2 linked regions of the Canis lupus familiaris genome follow. The protein of the gene in region 1 purifies or fractionates together with the protein of each later gene. This does not show direct contact. Links are inferred from orthologs where the notes say so. Each region holds a gene or a part of one and is shown on either strand. Other genes may lie near its edges.

The links.
Region 2: the proteins of NEUROG3 (region 1) and C1QBP purify together in Homo sapiens (affinity purification with mass spectrometry; 3 studies listed by BioGRID and IntAct, counting the BioPlex papers as one, with this or other methods). This does not show direct contact. The link is inferred for Canis lupus familiaris from reciprocal best matches to the Homo sapiens genes NEUROG3 and C1QBP.

What each region holds. Positions count from the first base shown.
Region 1 is NC_049225.1:21,374,280-21,378,765, reverse strand, and holds the start of NEUROG3 (neurogenin-3), read left to right. Parts: upstream 1-1,586; 5' UTR 1,587-1,796; intron 1,797-1,976; 5' UTR 1,977-1,977; coding exon 1,978-2,625; 3' UTR 2,626-4,486. UniProt on the Homo sapiens protein: Acts as a transcriptional regulator. Together with NKX2-2, initiates transcriptional activation of NEUROD1. Involved in neurogenesis. Also required for the specification of a common precursor of the 4 pancreatic endocrine cell types.
Region 2 is NC_049226.1:31,558,620-31,563,116, forward strand, and holds the start of C1QBP (complement component 1 Q subcomponent-binding protein, mitochondrial), read left to right. Parts: upstream 1-1,589; 5' UTR 1,590-1,673; coding exon 1,674-1,884; intron 1,885-2,444; coding exon 2,445-2,595; intron 2,596-4,497.

The sequences.
Region 1 (4,486 bases):
CAGCGCCCCCATCCCCATACAGCCCTAGAGCCCTCTCTCCCTGGCTCCCTAGCACATCCCACCTCTCTCTGCCTAGGAGGTCACTGCACCCTCTAAGCAGCCAGGGCAGGTGTGGAGAGGTAGTCACTAGGGCAGATCCGCAGACTTACCTTGACCCTCCACCCCATCCCCTCAGTTTCCCAGCAGGGTCCAGCCCCTCTCCGCCAGTTTCCGGCAGGCACTGGGTGTCTGGATCTACTAGAGAGTGAAGCCTTCGCAGCCTGCAGAGACAGAACCCAGGCCCCAGTCTTCCCCCCCTTGGCTGTCCCCTCACCCCCCCACCAGACACGTTGTAGTCAAGAGAGAAGCAGAAGCCTCGACCCCTCACCCTGAGTGACCGGAAGCAGAAGACCACGGGGGTGTCCGAGGCGAGGACAAAAGGGAAGGTTGGGGAAGAAAGGAGGGATGATGCGTTTGGTCTCACTTTCCGACTGCGCTAACAGGGGCCTTCAGGGTCCCTGCCCGGGCTCCGATCCGGGCTCGCCGGATCCTTGCCTAGCACCAGGCGCTGGCTGGCCCAGCTGTGATTGGACAGGAGGACAGAGGGAGGAAAGAAGTGGTCTGCTTCTCACAGTTCCAGCACACTAAGAGTGTTTAAAAGACAAGGCCTTGTTTCGAGTTCCTGGCCCTCTCCTGGCCCATTCTCACCTGGGCCCTTCCCCCTTAGGCCCTGGCTCAAATGTGAGGGGGCTGTCCACGATGGCTAGTGGTGGAATGTCCCTGGGAGGTCCCACCATGGCCACCCTCCGCCTCTGGGACCCGATGGAAATTTCTTGGGTTCCCACTAGGAGATTGGGAGGAGATGTTCTCAGTGCTTCCCTCTGAGGAGTGAGGAGCATCATCACGGGACAAGGTGGTAGGAGGTAGGGTGGCTCCTGACCCCCAGCGAAGGACTCTAAGTGGCAGGGACTAGGCACAATCTTTCTGTGTGGTTGTCCTGTGCCCCCTGCCAGAAAGGAGAGGGTCAGGGAAACATCACCCCATGAGTTTCCTGGCCTGACCAGCAGAGCAGGACAGCAGGGTCACCTGGGGAATTAGTGGACACTCCTCGAAGCTGGTAGTCCAGGCAACTTGCGCCTTGTCTTATCTCTGGCCCAGTGATTTGGGGCAAACTGCCACCTTCTCTGAGCCTTAATGTCCCCATGTGTAACATATGGAGATCGACCAAGCCCATAGGCTCCCCAAAGCCCTCTTTGGGGTATCAAAAGAGGTTCTGGGCAGGTGCCAAGGAAAGACAGAGTAGGAGCAAAGCGGTCTGGGGCGGCCAGACGCGAGCCAGACGAGGCTCCTCTCCCTGGGCGAGGCTCTTTGAGGAACCGAGAGTTGCTGGGACGGAGCCCGCGGGGAGAGAGCAAATAGAGCGGCGCTCCCCTCCCCCGACCCCGGCCCTTTGTCCGGGATCCAGCTGTGCCCCGCGGGGGAGGAGCGGGCTCGCGTGGCGCGGCCCCCTGGCCCCGGCGCTGATTGGCCGGCCGCTCGGGCAGCAACGGGGCAGGCACGCTCCGGGCCCCGGCCGAGCAGATAAAGCGTGCCAAGGGGCACACGACTGGCGGCTCGGAAAATCCGAATGGTCTCGCAGCCGCGCCAAAGACAGCCACGGTGGCCCGGGACCCCTTTGCGTTTGGCTTCTCCAGGGCTGTGGAAACGTCCAGGCAGCGGCACCTGCGTCTGCGCTGCGCTTGCAGACGGAAAGGCCGGCTCATCCTAACCATTGATCTCGCTGCCCCCTTCTCTCCCCTTTTGCGCGCGCGAACAAGGTAACACCTGGAGGCGACAGAGCGACGGGTGGAGGGGGAAAGGGGTCCTCTGATCCGGCGGGACGGGGGCGGGGTGGCTCTTTCTCTACCCCCCACCCCCCACCCCCTCTTGGCCCCGGGATAGGGAACTGCGCCCCGGTGGCCGACCCACGCTTACTGCGACCTTTTACCCTGCCGCAGGATGGCGCCTCATCCCTCGGGTGCGCCAACTGTCCAAGGGACCTACGAGACTGAGCGGTCCTTCCCGGGCGCCTCGGACGACGAAGGGGCCTGCGTTGCGTCCGCTCCGCCCAGCCCCGCTCGCTCGCGGGGCAACGGCGCCGAGGAGGAAGGGGGCGGCTGCCGAGGGGCCTCGAGGAAGCTCCGGACCAGGCGCGGCGGGCGCAGCCGGCCCAAGAGCGAGCTGGCTCTGAGCAAGCAGCGACGCAGCCGGCGCAAGAAGGCCAACGACCGCGAGCGCAATCGAATGCACAACCTCAACTCGGCGCTGGACGCGCTTCGCGGTGTCCTGCCCACCTTTCCGGACGATGCCAAGCTGACCAAGATCGAGACGCTACGCTTCGCGCACAACTACATCTGGGCGCTGACGCAGGCGCTGCGCATAGCGGACCACAGCCTCTACGGGCTGGAGGCGCCCGCGCTGCCCTGCGGGGAGCTGGGCAGCCAGGACGGCGGCTCCCCGGGAGACTGGGGCTCCCTCTACTCCCCGGTCTCCCAGGCGGGCAGCCTGAGCCCCGCCGCCTCGCTGGAGGAGCGTCCCGGGCTGCAGGCCCCTGCCTCCCCTGCCAGTCTGCGCCCCGGCGCCCTCGCTTTTTCAGACTTCCTATGAAGGGGCCTGTCGGCCACTGGGCGGTGGGTGCTTGGGACAGAGGGAGGGGGCGGAGGCCGTCAGGGACACCGCGCTGCGGCGGCCCTGGTGCGAACTTGCTCCTCCAGGCTCGGGCTCGCTAACACCCGGTGAACCCCGGGCGCCCACGAGGGTGACAGGCTGCATTCCATCCCCATCCTCCGCGCCGCGCCAACTCCAGCCCTCTGGTGCTGCCCGCGCAGGCCAGCATTGCAGCCTCCGCACGTCCCCCTCCCTGCAGCCACCCTACCCTCATTCATGCAAAGACGAAGTCTCATGCAAAGAAGAAGAGGATGCTAGCTCTACGCACGCAGCCCGAGACACCCCCTGTCTCCAGCCACCCTACCCTCACTCAAGTCTGTGGGTCTGTCTCTTACCAATCCTCCACCAATGTGATTTAACTCAGTATTTGATCTTTCACCGTTTGCTTTCTTCTCCAAAGACGCAGCGGACCTTCTTCTCCTCCAGTCCCTATCAAGTCCTGGTTTCTGGCTGCTTCGCTGCCTTAATCCAGGAAGGTGATCCTCTGCCTTCTCTCGTGCACTTTTGGGAGCCATTGCCCTCCCGAGGGGAGGGAGACCAGGCTGTGAACTGGGAAAGAGATTGTCCGCCTGGGGAACTCTCCCGCTGCGACCTGAAGCGCCCTTCTTTTAAAAAGAAAAAAAAAGAAAAAGAAAAAGAAGAAAAAGAAAAAATCAGACTGTAAATTATATGATATCTTTTGAAGTGAATTTTGGTATGGTATATTATATGCCTCCCCTCCCTCCTTTACACGTTTGTATTTATTGATGAGATTTCACAGCAGGGGGGAAAGTCTATTTTTTGTACATAAGATTATTTAGAGACTGGTGAATGAGATTTTGAGCCAATAAAAAAAGTACCCTCAAGAAGCCTCAGTTAGGTAACTCGACTATGCAGAGGGGAGGGTCACAGCCCCCTGGCTGGGGCAGTGGTAGGCCTCAGTCCAAGGAGAAATATGAAACATTCTGGGGGGTCTGAGCCCCTTCTCTGACTTGAGCTAAGAGGCTGTGGCCCTAGGCTGGAAGCAGAGCAGGTAGTGTCCTCAGGGCAAGTCAGCTAAACCTGTATGGAAAGTAAGAGCTGGAGGGCTCTTAAGAAAACATTGGTCCAGTTCCCAATTTTATTTATAGGGCAGTGAACTGTCATATTCCAAAGAGTGGTTTAGGTGAAAGACAAGTCTCCAACTAGGGATACTTGCTGGCGCTGCTGACCCTTGCCCCTACACCACTAGCCTGGACTTAGAGTGACTAGTGCATTTGGGGAGGAAGAGTAGTAGCCTGACCACAGGGTCAGAGCCCTCAGAAACACTGAAAGTTGACTGGGCATCCCAGGAATGTTCCCAGGGTGCTTAGAGGGCTAGCATGTTTTCTAAGCACATTTTATGCAGCCGGTTCTGGGTGTCCTGACGTGTGGCTTTGAGCAGCGGGAAGCAGAGAGTGGAGAGTCCCGCTGAAATCTCTGGCACCCAGGACACCTGGCAGTCTTGATCGAAAACTTAGCAAGAATGTGTTCAAGCCACTCATTACTCCCAAGGTAGAGGTGGGGTGCACGGCAGGGACTGAAACTATTAGAGCACCCCTACATGGCCTGCAGGACCCCTAGACCTCCAGGGAAGCCAGTGGAGCCCTAAGAATCCGCAGAGCCCGCCTGGCACTCGGAACAGGAAAATGGAGGGTGGGGACCCTACCCTGTGAATTGAACCCCAGAGACCTCCTGGGATTGGCTGCAGGAAGGAGCCAGCCAACCCCAGTGGGGCATGGCACCCTCATGGCCCACCCAGAGCCAGTCTGTAGGTGGGTTTCCAGTTAGAACGCAAAGGTCT
Region 2 (4,497 bases), on another chromosome or scaffold:
CCCTGCTCGGGCTCCATACCTTCCATATCCTATAGGTTTTGAACCTAAATCTGACACAAGCCACGGCTCTGTCACTGAAGTAACATGAGCTGCTCTGGGTGGGTCACAGGTGGAGACTGATGGGGGAAATGGGCAGAAGGCAGTGTAGATACCATTACATGTCCTCATAACCTGCAGCCCTCGGACAGGTACTGGGGGAGGCAGAGGGTGAGTTTCCTCTGGGAAGCCCTCGACTCTGAGTTTGACAACAGCCAGGCCTCAGGTTTCCAGAGTCTTCTTCAGTGTATGAAAATCCTCTTAAAAAAAATTTTTTTTAAAAGATTTTATTTATTCATGAGAGACAGAGACACAGAGGGAGAAGCAGACTCCCTGCGGGGAGCCCTATGTAAGACTCAATCCAAGGACCCCAGGATCACACCCTGAGCCACAGGCAGACACTCAACCACTGAGCCACCCAGGTGCCCCTATCCTCTTAAATCTTCCCTAACCCTTACTTCCCCAAGCCCTGGAGTGGCTGCATGCCTTCTGCCCCAGGCTCCTGGCCCTGGGCTAAATGAAACCACCACTTAGCTCCAAGATGCCCAGGACCCAACCAAACCACACGGAGACATTCCAAATAACTCCACCAGAGACGACCCCAGGGGCAGCCCCACACAGGAAACTAAAGGATTTGCAGCAAAGGAGGAGGAAGGAAATAACTTCCAAAGCCGTGACTGTCAAGCAGAGGCGAGCAGGTTATTAAGGGTGAGGGATGAATATCCAGGGAGAGCAGCTGTGTTCCCTGCGCAGGGGCGTCCATCAGGTTGCTCAGGTACAAGGTTGAAAACACCTTTACCTGCGCCCTGTCAGGGCAATGAGGCCCCTGCTCCCCCCGGGGGAGACCTTAACCTTGTGAGGGTGGGGCCAGGGGAAGGGGCGATTAGCGCCTCCCCCCCCCCTCCCCCGGGCCACGGGCTGGGGTCTTGGGCTCATCTCCGATGGGAACACCCGCCTTGCTCTTGGACCAGCCCTGGGACTTGTACCGCGAGGTTGAAGTCTGGGATGCGGTTCGGCCGCCCACGTAGTTCTGCATTCCCTTTTATTCCTTAAAATCCGTAACGACTAAGGCTTTTGCATCTGCGATTCTGACACCGCCTTAGGAGGTTCTTCGAGGAGCTGCTAGGAGTAGGGTGTGGGTGCCAAGAACAGCTGGAGGCCCCAAGTGACCTCTCCGGGGCCTTAAGAGCTCTCTTTTTCTGGGCCCCTCCCTCCTCCTCCCAGCTTCCTGGTCCCAGAACAATGCAAAGTCTTGGGAACTGGGTGCACGCTGGTGGGGGGGAGGGGCACACGCTGGGGGCCGTGTGTGTGCGCGTGCCGGGGCTGTGCATGCTGGGGAGGTGCACACAGGTGGTGTGCACGCCGGGGTGGTGTCCACGCTTGGTAAGGGTGGCGGGAATTCAGAGGGCCGGCCCCGGAGCGGAGCTACCCTCGGGGCTCGGGGTCCCGCGGGGAGACCCGGCGCCGGCGGCCCCGCTGACCTCGGCGGCCCCAGCAGAGGGCGCTGCCAGCCCGACGCCCCGGGCCGGCACTGCACAGGCGCGGAAGCGCTCCCGGGGAGGAGCGGGACTTCCGGCGGCGCGCGAGCCGGGATCCGGGCCTGGTTCGTCCTTCGCGCCCGCACGTGCGTTGCCGCGATGCTACCGCTGCTGCGCCGAGTGCCCCGCGCCCTGGGCTCGGCGGTCGCCGGGCTCCGCGCCGCCCCCGCCCTGCCGCCTCCGACCCTGCTGCGGCCCGCGCCCCGGCCGTGCGTGCGGCCCTTCGGGCTCCTCCCTGTGCGCGCGGGCCTCCTGCGCTCCCGCGGGCCCTGCGGCTGCGGCTGCGGCTGCGGCGGGCTGCACACCCAGGGTGAGGCTGGGGCGCGGCGGGGGCGGTGGTCCGGGGAGCCGCGGCCAGGGGGGCGGGGGCCCAAGGCCCCAAACTCACGACCCCCTGCAGTGGACGACTCCAGGTTAATCCCACGTGGCTTGAGGTTTCCTGCCTTAATCCCGAGAGTGGTGGCTCCCTGGCTGGCGGTGATGCTTCTAAACCCCGGCAGCCGGCTCTATCCTGAGCCTCGGAGGTGGATTCGGGGAGGCGGCTGGTCAGAGTTAAAAGCAGGGGAGGTCGTGTGTGGTCTGGGGCGGGTAACGGGAATCGCCTGGCTTCGCTGTGAAATGCGGTGATGGGCTCGTTGCTGGAAGTCATTTTTCCAGAATTGAGCTCAGCCTCCTGCCACGGGTGTCCAGCCCGTTTCCAGGTTGGGAACCGAGGCCCCGTGGGTCTGACTCCGTGCCCAGAGCCTCCGTAACAGCACAAGCATCAGAATCGGTCGAGGCCAGGTTTCCCACAGCAATCACCCCAAGTCGTTTGTTGGTTTAAGACTGACTGGTTTTTCTTTTTCTGTATCTTATGGGTTTTCATTGCAGGGGACAAAGCTTTCGTCGAGTTCCTGAATGATGAGATTAAGGAGGAAAAGAAAATACAGAAGCACAAGTCCCTCCCCAAAATGTCTGGGGGCTGGGAGCTAGACATGAATGGGACGGAGGCCAAGTTAGTGCGGAAAGTAGCTGGAGAAAAGTAAGTGTGGGCTGCAGGGGGTCCCTCTGACCCGGCGCAGCCTCCCCGATCTTCCAGGGATGCCTTAGAGCAGGTCCCCGGACACATGATTTCCAGGTGCCTCATTCACTGCACGCAGATTGGCTGAGCGTGGATTTATTAAGGAAGGAAGGATGTCCTGGTAAGGAAGGCCCTGCCTGACCCAGGCACGCATATCAGAAAGTCTTCTTAAGATTTCATTTACTATTATTATAATTTTTTAAGATTTTATTTATGCATGAGAGACATAGAGAGAGGCAGAGACACAGGCAGAGGGAGAAGCAGCCTCCATGCAGGGAGCCCAACATGGGACTTGATCCCAGGTCCCCAGGATCCCCTCCGGCTGAAGGTGGCGCTAAACTGCTGAGCCACCAGGGCTGCCCTATTTTTGAGAGAGAGAGCACGCACATGGGCAGAGGGAGAAGCAGGCTCTCCTCCTGAGCAGGGTGCCCTATGGGAGCTGGAGCTCGACCCCAGGACCCTGGGATCACCACCAGAGCCAACCCCAGACCCTTCACCAACCAAGCCACAGAGGTGCCCCCGACTGAGATTTGTGCAGTTCTGACGGATTGGGTGCCGCCTCTGCAGTGCAGGGTTCTGGCCGAGGGAAACCCGGCCCTCCCCCTGACATTTGACGTTTACAGTGGGGAGAACCAGCCTGTGGCCCCCATGTGCGTGGATGAAGCCACATGTGCTTAGTGTCCCCGTTAGAAAGGTACAGAACTTTCCATTTGCTTCACCTCTTCACCATCCCTTTTTTGAGTAAAGTTCTGAGATGTTGTGAACTGGGATCTGATTCTTTCTTTGCCTTTATTTGCCATGTTTTTTTTTCCTGCATAACTTCCCCTAAACCATTTTCTGAGGGTAACGTGTAGCCAGTGGAGTAAATATAATGTTCTAGTGAATAGAGCGGCACCTCTGTGCCCAGGTGCTCAGTGTGGTCAGCACCGCGGCACATTAGATAGGTTTTGTAGCTGAATGTGACACCAGCATCCCTGTACGGGAGCAACTCCAAGCACACCGGCAGGGGGGTCCCGAGTACACCCACGGAGTGGGGGAGCTGGCACCTACCTGCGCTGGGCACTCAGACTCGGAGCACAATTTGTCAGGGGAGGGTTCTGTAGCGGAAGACTGTCATGAGGTGGGTGTTTCCAGGCTGCTTCCTCACGATATGGAACTTCCCACAAGTATTTTAAAGAATGGATTTAGGGGGGGCGGGGGCTCAGTGGTTGAGCATCTGTCTTTGGCTCAGGTCGTGATCTCAGGGTCCTGGGATCGAGTTCCAGGTCGGGCTTTCTACTCAGCAGGGTATCTGCTTCTCCCTCTGCCCCTCCCACTGTTCGTGCTCTCTCAAATAAATATATTTTTAAAAACAGCTCTGGCAGCTGTGTTGACGGGGAGCCCCCTCCCCGGGGCCTATCCTGGCCCTCTCATAGCAGCACCCTTGTGTGCCTCTCTTCCCCTGTCCCTCTGGGCAGATCTCATGGAGTAAAGTTCTTACGAGAGGCTACCTGCTGTCCCAGCACCCTCTGCTGCTCACTGCCACCGAATGGCTGGTGGCCAGGAGCCCTGGGTTGGCAGGGTGGGGGGGCAGTTAGTAACCCACTGCGTCTGCACGTGGCGGAGACAAGGAGATAAAGTGGGGCCTGTGGGTTTATTTTTTATTTTTTTTTTAAGATTTTATTTATTTATTCATGAGAATACACAGAGAGGAGAGAGAGAAGCAGAGACACAGGCAGAGGGAGAAGCAGGCTCCATGCAGGGAGCCCAATGTGGGACTCGATCCCAGGTCTCCAGGATCACACCCAGGGCTGCAGACAGCACCAAACCACTGAACCACCAGGGCTGCCCGGCCTGTGGGTTTAAATCTGGCAGCCCTGGAAA